Linked DNA regions of Oryzias latipes. The protein of the gene in region 1 purifies or fractionates together with the protein of each later gene. This does not show direct contact. Links are inferred from orthologs where the notes say so. Each region holds a gene or a part of one and is shown on either strand. Other genes may lie near its edges.

Evidence for each region.
Region 2: the proteins of lamtor5 (region 1) and slc38a9 purify together in Homo sapiens (co-immunoprecipitation; 5 studies listed by BioGRID and IntAct, with this or other methods). This does not show direct contact. The link is inferred for Oryzias latipes from reciprocal best matches to the Homo sapiens genes LAMTOR5 and SLC38A9.

Annotation. Positions count from the first base shown.
Region 1 is NC_019865.2:10,897,164-10,901,758, reverse strand, and holds the start of lamtor5 (ragulator complex protein LAMTOR5), read left to right. Parts: upstream 1-1,568; 5' UTR 1,569-1,707; coding exon 1,708-1,742; intron 1,743-1,831; coding exon 1,832-1,893; intron 1,894-3,686; coding exon 3,687-3,804; intron 3,805-4,595. UniProt on the Homo sapiens protein: As part of the Ragulator complex it is involved in amino acid sensing and activation of mTORC1, a signaling complex promoting cell growth in response to growth factors, energy levels, and amino acids.
Region 2 is NC_019870.2:27,098,906-27,102,723, forward strand, and holds part of slc38a9 (sodium-coupled neutral amino acid transporter 9), read left to right. Parts: intron 1-664; coding exon 665-783; intron 784-897; coding exon 898-961; intron 962-1,083; coding exon 1,084-1,177; intron 1,178-2,013; coding exon 2,014-2,184; intron 2,185-2,498; coding exon 2,499-2,558; intron 2,559-2,860; coding exon 2,861-3,052; intron 3,053-3,263; coding exon 3,264-3,371; intron 3,372-3,680; coding exon 3,681-3,787; intron 3,788-3,818.

The DNA.
Region 1 (4,595 bases):
CATTAAAGACTAAATCTTAGAACTCATCAGTGGGATTACTCCAAAAATATTTGGCATTTCCCTAAATTTGTGCAACACCAACAGCAGAAATCCTCCAAAAAAACTCAATCCTAAAAAAATGGTCTGATCTAATCCCCCCTCCCCCTCCCCTTCCCTCTGACACACGCGGCTCCGTCTCCATGACGACAGCGCGCAGCTGCGGCTCAGAGTTGATTGTCAGATAGAAAAAGACCCCCAATCACCTGTTAGTGTGATTCAGCCAGCCACCGGCGAGCTGCGCTCCCCTCTCGAGTTTTTTGACTTATGTTCCAAAGACTACAAAGAGGTGTGGCCGCAATCGTCTTGCAGCAGAGGGCGGTGGTCACGTGCGCATCGGGTCTGCTGTGTCGGAGCAAAGAATTGTGGGAAATAATCTCCATTGCCTGCTTTTTTCGAAATTGGGTTGAGCACGGATGTTTGTTCTGCCTAATTCATTTTCATGTGCCGGTTTTACGTTGTTTCACTCTGAGGTATTCTTTTTTTTTTTTTTTTTTTTTTTTTTTTTGCACCATAAGTGTGAAGAGCAAATAGGAGGAAGACATTCTTTAGAGTCTGATGTGTCTAAATAAAAGCATTAAGTGTCGGCTGCTCAAGCAATTTCAAATTAAAAGCTCCAAGCTTCCTCTTTGAATTTAGTATGTAGCATATTATGTGTAACGCCTCAGGAACGGCAAATGCCGCCCCCTATGAAGTGCCGCCCTGGGCGACCGCCCACATCGACCATATCAAAAACCGCCACTGCACTGCAGTAAGATAAACAGTTTAAGTCCCACTCCAATAATCATTCGATCTATTTTCAGTGTTTCCAGTACCGGTAGTCTTTTAATTATAACTATGCCGCTTTTAGGCTAAATCAAAAAACCTTTGTCGTTTTCAGGGACATACATAGTTTCTGCAGCGTGGCAGTAGTTCATTAGAAATTCATCTCTGAGTTGTGGGCGGGACTGTTGGCGAGGACTAAGCCAATCCCTGCTTCCTATCATCAGTTTACAGCCCCTCACAGCCCCCAACCTAAAATTATGCAACAAAAATGGCTAGCAATATTGGAGCTATGCAGCCATACCGTTTTGATCCAGATGTCAGCTCTGGCAAAGAAAACAAAGATGTACAAGGATCTAGTCATCTACAAGCCAATCCATCATAATGGAAAATGCTGCTGGTTGTAGTAGCTTGTAGTAGCTTCTACGTCAGATCTGCAGGATATTTCAAATGGCATTTTTGCACATGCTACTGATTCACAACGATTTGAATAAAGAAATACTCAGAAATGCAATTTTAATCTTATTTTTTTTATGTGTCCTGCATCATCAGAAAAATGTCACAAGAATTAAAAAATACACCAAAAATCATTTATTTGAATTAAGCCGTCAATTCTATTCTATTCTATTCTATTCTATTCTATTCTATTCTATTCTACTGAAAACCAATTATTTTTAATTTGTACTAAAAGATACAGTTATCAGTCTGTCTTTAGTTGGTTGTTTTGTAGTTTTGAGTTGGCTCAGCCGTTCGCGCTTCGTCTTGTTTGACCCTGGCGATGTCTCTTACTGTACGTCACAGTCACATGATTGTCAGGAGGAATTTAAGGAAACAAACGTCAACAACAAAAAATACAATTTTTGGGCCATAGAACTTTACATTTTCTGATTTTTTTACGGTTTTCTAAAGATGGAGTCAACCCTCGAACAACACCTTGACGATACGTGAGTTCTAATCTATGCTAACTAGCTTGTTTCTTTACATTTCGTACATTCGTTTGGCTAATTCTCTTGATTTCGTGTTTTTTCTGCAGCATGAAAAATCCAGCTGTTGTTGGGGTTCTATGCACGGACCAACAAGGACACAACTTGGGCTGTAAGACTCTTCAGAGTTAACAGGAAGTCACATCACATGTATTTATTCACGAAGTACCCCGTAGTCGATATTCTCTAGTTCGTCAGTTTCGCTAATAAATAAATTCCCGCAACAGTTTAGTTTCCCCAAAAACACAAGTTTCCACCGCCAGCTGTTTATGAGAGATCATGTTGTTATTTCTGATGTTTTAGTCTTTAATCTCATTAGAGAAATGTTGCCAGTGAGTGAGAGAGGCAAAGATGTAACTCAGAAAGAAGACCCATAGTGTTTAGGTCAGTGCAGATCATGTGTAGACATCTGTCTCCTAAAGACATCCTTTGCTTACATAACGGGATGTGTTACTTTTTCCAAAGAGGCCCATATTTGCAGTGAATCTTAGAACTATTTGAAACACATTAAATTAAATATACTGCAATGGGATACTTTTCATGACATTTCATGATTACATGACAGTCTTCACATAGAAAACAGACATCTAACTACGTTTTTACCAAAATTACTGTCACATTTGTATATTTTTTGCACAGTTCATTCACAGTTAGCTTGTCGTATTAGCATGTCTTATCTGGTAGTTTCTCTTGATATTGAACTCCATGAAAACAGCCACAGTCTTCTGGCCCATTAGGCAGACACAGTTGTTTTATATTTCACTGAAAAAATGTTCAAATTTTCCATTTGTCCTTTAAGAGGTTGACCCTTAAAGAGCTAGAGAGTGTCACAAAAGGGTCGCACAACAGTGTTTCCACAGGTTTATAAAGTCTGATTTAGCCAACCACACAGCTTTTAGATATTGTTGCAGGACGCGTTCTGTTGATTTTATGTAGGAGCCTACGGGCCGGTGAAAATTTGAAAGGGGGCCGGATTTGGCCCACAAGCCGGACTTTGGACATGCCTGGCTCTCATGACTGATCGACTGTTTTCCGTGTTGAAGACCTGAGTCGGAATAATTTAAAAATGGGTCTTCAACTGAATAAGTAACAATTTCCTCTTGAGGCAAACTGATTTGATCTATTATATGATAGTAACAGTTCAGACCAGCAAACATAGCAAAGAATTCTGGCTCACTGTGGTGGTCTGATCTGCTGCTGGTTATTACACCTTTGCTGCCAGATGTTAAAGCTACATGTTAAATTATCACACTGTTGGTGCTCTGACATTGTAAAAACGTGAAATCAGATTTACTTTAAGAAAAAAGTTAAATTCTAAATAAAGACTGCAGTCCAAATGAACTGATCTGATGAGCAGAAGGATGCATCTAAAGCAGGTCATCATTTAAAGTCCCACTCTGATCATCTTTTGATCTATTTCAAAAGCATTCCTAGTCTTTTATTTATGATGAAGCTGTTTTTGACCCAAAAAAAATAGTCATTTTCCAGAACAAAGTTTCTGCAGAGCAGCACTAGTTTTTTTAAAAATTCACCTCTTGAGTTGTGAGCAGGACTGTCGGCGTGAAGTAAGCCCACTTGTCGTCACTCATCTGTTTACTGTTTACATGCTCTCCTGCTAGCTTTCAGCCCTTCAGACCCCAAGCCTAACATTAGCGGTACATCAAAAATAGCGAGCAGTATCAGAGCTATACAGTCCTAGAGTTTTTAACCCGATAACTGCTCGGATGAGAAAAACAAAGACGTCCATGGATCTAGTCTGGATTCTGCTGATTCACAACGATTTGAATAAACAAATCCTGAAAAATGCATTTTTGAATATGTTCTCCATCATCAGAAAAATGCCAAAAGAACATGTTTAAAACACAATTTTCATCAGAGCGGGTCTTTGACATATTTTTTTTTTAGGTCGTGGATCTCTGTCAGATGAACATGGAGGTGTGGTGTCTGTTCTGGCTAAACAAGCAGCTGCTCTCACCAGAGACCTGACGGACACACCGACTGTGTGCCTAGAGTCCGAGTCAGGGTGAGCCATGGACTGTGCCTTTGCACAACTTCTTCTATTTCTTAGTTTTAGTGCATTTAAGGTGTGCCTTTGTAGTTTTAAATGTGGAAGTGTACAAATAAGAGTTCCAAGACGCTGTGCAATCAGCTTCAACTTCTGTGCCACAGAGGTGCAGCAGAGATGAGCATCCTCTATACCTGCTGGTCACGTGGGAGACCATGCCTAATTATTTTTCTGAGTATTGGCTCCTCTATACTATTCATGACTTTTGGAACTTCCGGATGTTGGAATATAATAATTTCCCCACCTCCTCAATACTGTACATTTAAGTCATTTAATGGATGATTTAATTCAAAGTGGCTTAACAGTGAGATACAAAACAAACCATATTATCCAGGATTAAGTGGTTGTGAGGGTTAGACTCATGGATAATCATATAGGCAGACCTGGATTTGAGTATTTATTTTTTTGGACTATGCTGCCACCTTCTGGACTCTTTTAAACTATTGAATGTAGTGGAATTCCCACCTCTGAAATGGACTTTGTCATTTGGAATTAGAAATTTACCAAAAACACAAGTAAATAGAATTCAATCCTGTTGTCTAAGTAGCACAACACCAAAAAAAAAAAACTTCTAATGAAGCTGAACAACAAACAAACAAACAAACAAAAACAACAACTATATAGTTATGAAATTACCAACTCAATTTATACTCAAATAAAAAAAAAATGAATATAGTGTCTAAAATCTCTTTTTTCTATCTAAGCCAAAGGAAAAATGTTTACATTTTTATATGTGATGAGCTCAGAAA
Region 2 (3,818 bases), on another chromosome or scaffold:
CCCCTGGTTTAGAGTATCTCAGATCTGCGTAGCAGCACTTCCGTTCGGCGATCCGGCTGCCGGTCCGAAGACAAAGCTAGTCCTGGGGAAAGTTTCGACGGAACGCGGTGCGTCTGAAGGCAGAAATGCTGCGACGTAGTCCTGAGAAGCTGTGTAAATTCATCAGGAGTTCACAACCGTCACAGCTCCTCTGCCGCTAACACAAAGCTACAAGCCTGGCCGCACTGCTCCTCGCATAAGTCTCTTAGCAGCCGGACACACGGTTATAGCACTGACGTCATCGCCCCGCCTCCCCTCCGGAAATGCTAAGTCGACTGAATTATGCAACACTATTCGCAGGGTGGATGTGAAAATGAAAATGCGATCCCCTCTTTGCATTTTCGCTTTAATTATGACACAGAATAAGCGGTTTTTAAGTAGAAAATGAAAAAGCATTTTGAAGTATTGACTTTTATTTTTAATTATGCTACAGAATCGCTTCCATGTGTGTCAGAGTATTAAAACAAGATGACATTTTTTCTGGTCGTTGTTTCTTATGCTGATGTCAGGATGCTGTCAGATCACAGAGACAGAAAATCATGATGACTTTACAGCTTTCAAAGGCTCATCAATATCAGTTTGGCTCCAACTGACCCCCCACCCCCTCTGCTGATGTTTTTCCCAGAGCCCCCCAAACCATGTGGTCCCACAGCCTGAGGAGATCTACATCTACAGTCCTCTTGGTATCGCTTTCAAGATCCCAGAAGGAGATCAGACTTCCAAGAACTCCAGCCTCATATCCATGTGAGCCCCCCCCCCTCCCCCCCCCGCCCCCCCCCCCCTCCCCCCCCCCCCCCCCGCCCCCCCAAGCGCCATATTCCTCCTCCCACAGCTCTGATGTTCCTTCTGGTTTTGCAGCTTCGCCATCTGGAACACGATGATGGGGACGTCCATTCTCAGCATACCGTGGGGCATCAAACAGGTGACGTCTTTTAGTTCCACCCCATGGAGCGGCTTTTGCCGTCTGAGCGCGCTCAGCAGCTGGAAACCTGTTTCTGTTCTGCACGCCTGAAGGCTTCCTGTCTGTCTGAACTCTGCTTGCAGGCTGGCTTCACGCTGGGAGTCGTCATCCTGGTGCTCACAGGGCTGCTCACTCTGTACTGCTGCTACATCGTCCTCAAGTCGCCAAGGACCATCAGTGAGTCAGGCCCCCCCCCCCCGTCAGCATTCAGGCCAGACTGTGATCAGATGCTAGATGTTTGATTTTATTTGTTTGGTTCAGAAATAGTCCAAAGTACAAACAAAGAAACTCCAACCTTTCTCTGTTTTCACCACGAGTCGAACGCCAAAACGGAGAAATCCTAAAACCCAGAAAAAAAAGTTAATTTTCTAAAAGAAACCAAATTTAAAGCCTCTTTTTCCAAGTGAATCTGTTTATTTAAACCCACAGATCAGTTCTACTTGGAGTTCTGTTCATTTTGGAAAATATTCCTTTGGTGGAAGCCTAATGGATCCAGTAAAACATTTGAGGGGGGGTTTGTCCTCATAAAGTTTAGCCCGTATGTCGGTGCCAAACGCTTCATCACCAAATTCAACACCTAATTCTGAAATTCTGATAAACATTGTCATTGAAAAAATAAACAAAAACAGGTTTGACATTTTTGTTTAATGGATCCAGCACTGATTTGATGACGATACCAACCAAAAAAAAAGGCCAGATGGATAGATGGGTGGGATTTAAAGAACATTTTTCAACATCAAAATACCCCCCCGGCCCGCCCCCAATAATATTCTGTACATGGCTCAACAGAGCTGCAACATTTGGCGGTTCTGGTAGTTGAGAATGGAGGGGGGGGGGCTTAAAGAAAGTCCTCAACAGCTGCTGTCTCAGATGAAAATCATGACGGTTCTACAGGATTTGGGCCTGAATGCTCGTCAGAGCAGATGCTGCCTGACAGTCTTAGGATTTTCCTCACCTTTCAGGTCCTTGAATCGGATGTTTTCCACGTGAAATGGCAGACCTTTGTTTTTCAGAAAGCGTGGATACCACAGACTGGGAATTTCCGGACGTGTGTCGGCACTACTTTGGAAAGTTTGGCCAGTGGTCCAGCCTCCTCTTCTCCCTGGTGTCGCTCTTAGGAGCCATGGTGGTTTACTGGGTCCTCATGTCCAACTTCTTGTTCAACACGGGGCAGTTTATCTACAGTGAGTGTCACACACACACACACACACACACACACACACACACACACACACACACACACACACACACACACACACACACACAAATAAACAAAATAATAATATCAAAGTTTCCTGCAGGCGGAGAAAGTTTCTGCCGTTAGAATGGTTCTATGCTGGGATGGTTTTCTAGGTGCTGAAGTTCTTCACATCCTTTCTTGTTGTCATGGTAATTCTGTACCTTGTGGGGGCGGGGTGGGGGCTGGCCTTCCACGTTTACCTTTAGGCCTCATCGTGTTTTTCTGTGGTAGAAAGCAGATTTCCTGTGTCGTCTGCAGATCAGGCTCACAACATCAACGTGTCAGATTCTCAGTTTGGAAACAACGGCTCCGATCAAGGTAAGCGTTCCTTTTGAACGGCTAAATCATCGTTACATGAATCTTACTTAGTGGCATTGACTGTCATTTGTTTTTCTTTGGAATATTTTCTGATAGTTTTGATTATTAGTATGGACTTCCTTTGTTTTAAAAACTCATTTTCTGGTACTTTTCAAAAATAAAACGTCCTTTAGGATCAGATAAGACAAAACAAACATGTTACTTTTTTCTCTCTGCTGCCGTGTCCTTTGGACCGGTACCGGTCCGCTGGCTGACTGCGTCTGCTTGGACTGATGCGGTATCCCGTTGTTTTTGGTTTGCAGTCATCTGTCCGTACCCGGTCATACACCCGGAGGGGGACGACTGCGGCAGCGGCGGCGGCGATGCCGGAAACGACATCTCCTTTGGGCGCTACTGGAGTAAAACCAACACGGTCCCGCTCTACCTCATCGTTCTGCTCCTCCCACTGCTCAGCTTCCGCTCCGCCTCCTTCTTCGCCCGCTTCACCTTCCTGGGTAAGACAGATCCAGATCCATGGGGTTAGCTGGAGCGGGTTTCCCTCAGACTTTATGTGGAGCAGACATGGAGGAAGCGTGGCGTTTATCCGTTCAGACCTGCTTTTTCTGATGCTGAGCGGAGTCTAACGGGTCAGAGGGACGTCGTTTCAGTTGTTTGGTTGGAGGCTAGCCAGGTGACGGCTTCATCACTTCACATCGTCTCTTCCAGGAACCATTTCTGTCGTCTACCTGATTGTTCTGGTCACCATCAAAGCTGTGCGCCTCGGCTTTCACCTGGAGTTCCACTGGTTTGACCCCACCCACTTCTATGTTCCAGGTAAATCCTGTGCAGATGATGGAACGCTCTTTTATGTCTCCTGAACGGAGATCGCGCCTCTCCCTCTGGCGTGGAGGAGACGTTTTTATTTATTTATTTGTTTTATATATTTTATAGACAAAATGTCAGACAAGCAAAACAAGTAGTTCAGGTGCTCTTTTGACCATTACAAGACAGAATGAATAAAGAACAGTAAATATTTAATTGCCAGTGACATTCTATTTAATATGTTTGATCAGGCCGCCCAACCTTTTGGAGCACTGTGGTGGTCCTGAAGCTGATGTGGGGTCTCTCCTCCTCCTGTTTCAGAGTTCAGGGCGCTCTTCCCACAGCTGACCGGCGTCCTCACTCTGGCCTTCTTCATCCACAACTGCATCATCACACTGATGAAGAACAACAAGCATCAGGAGAACAACGTGAGCCGTCTCCGTCATCAAAGTCCTTGAA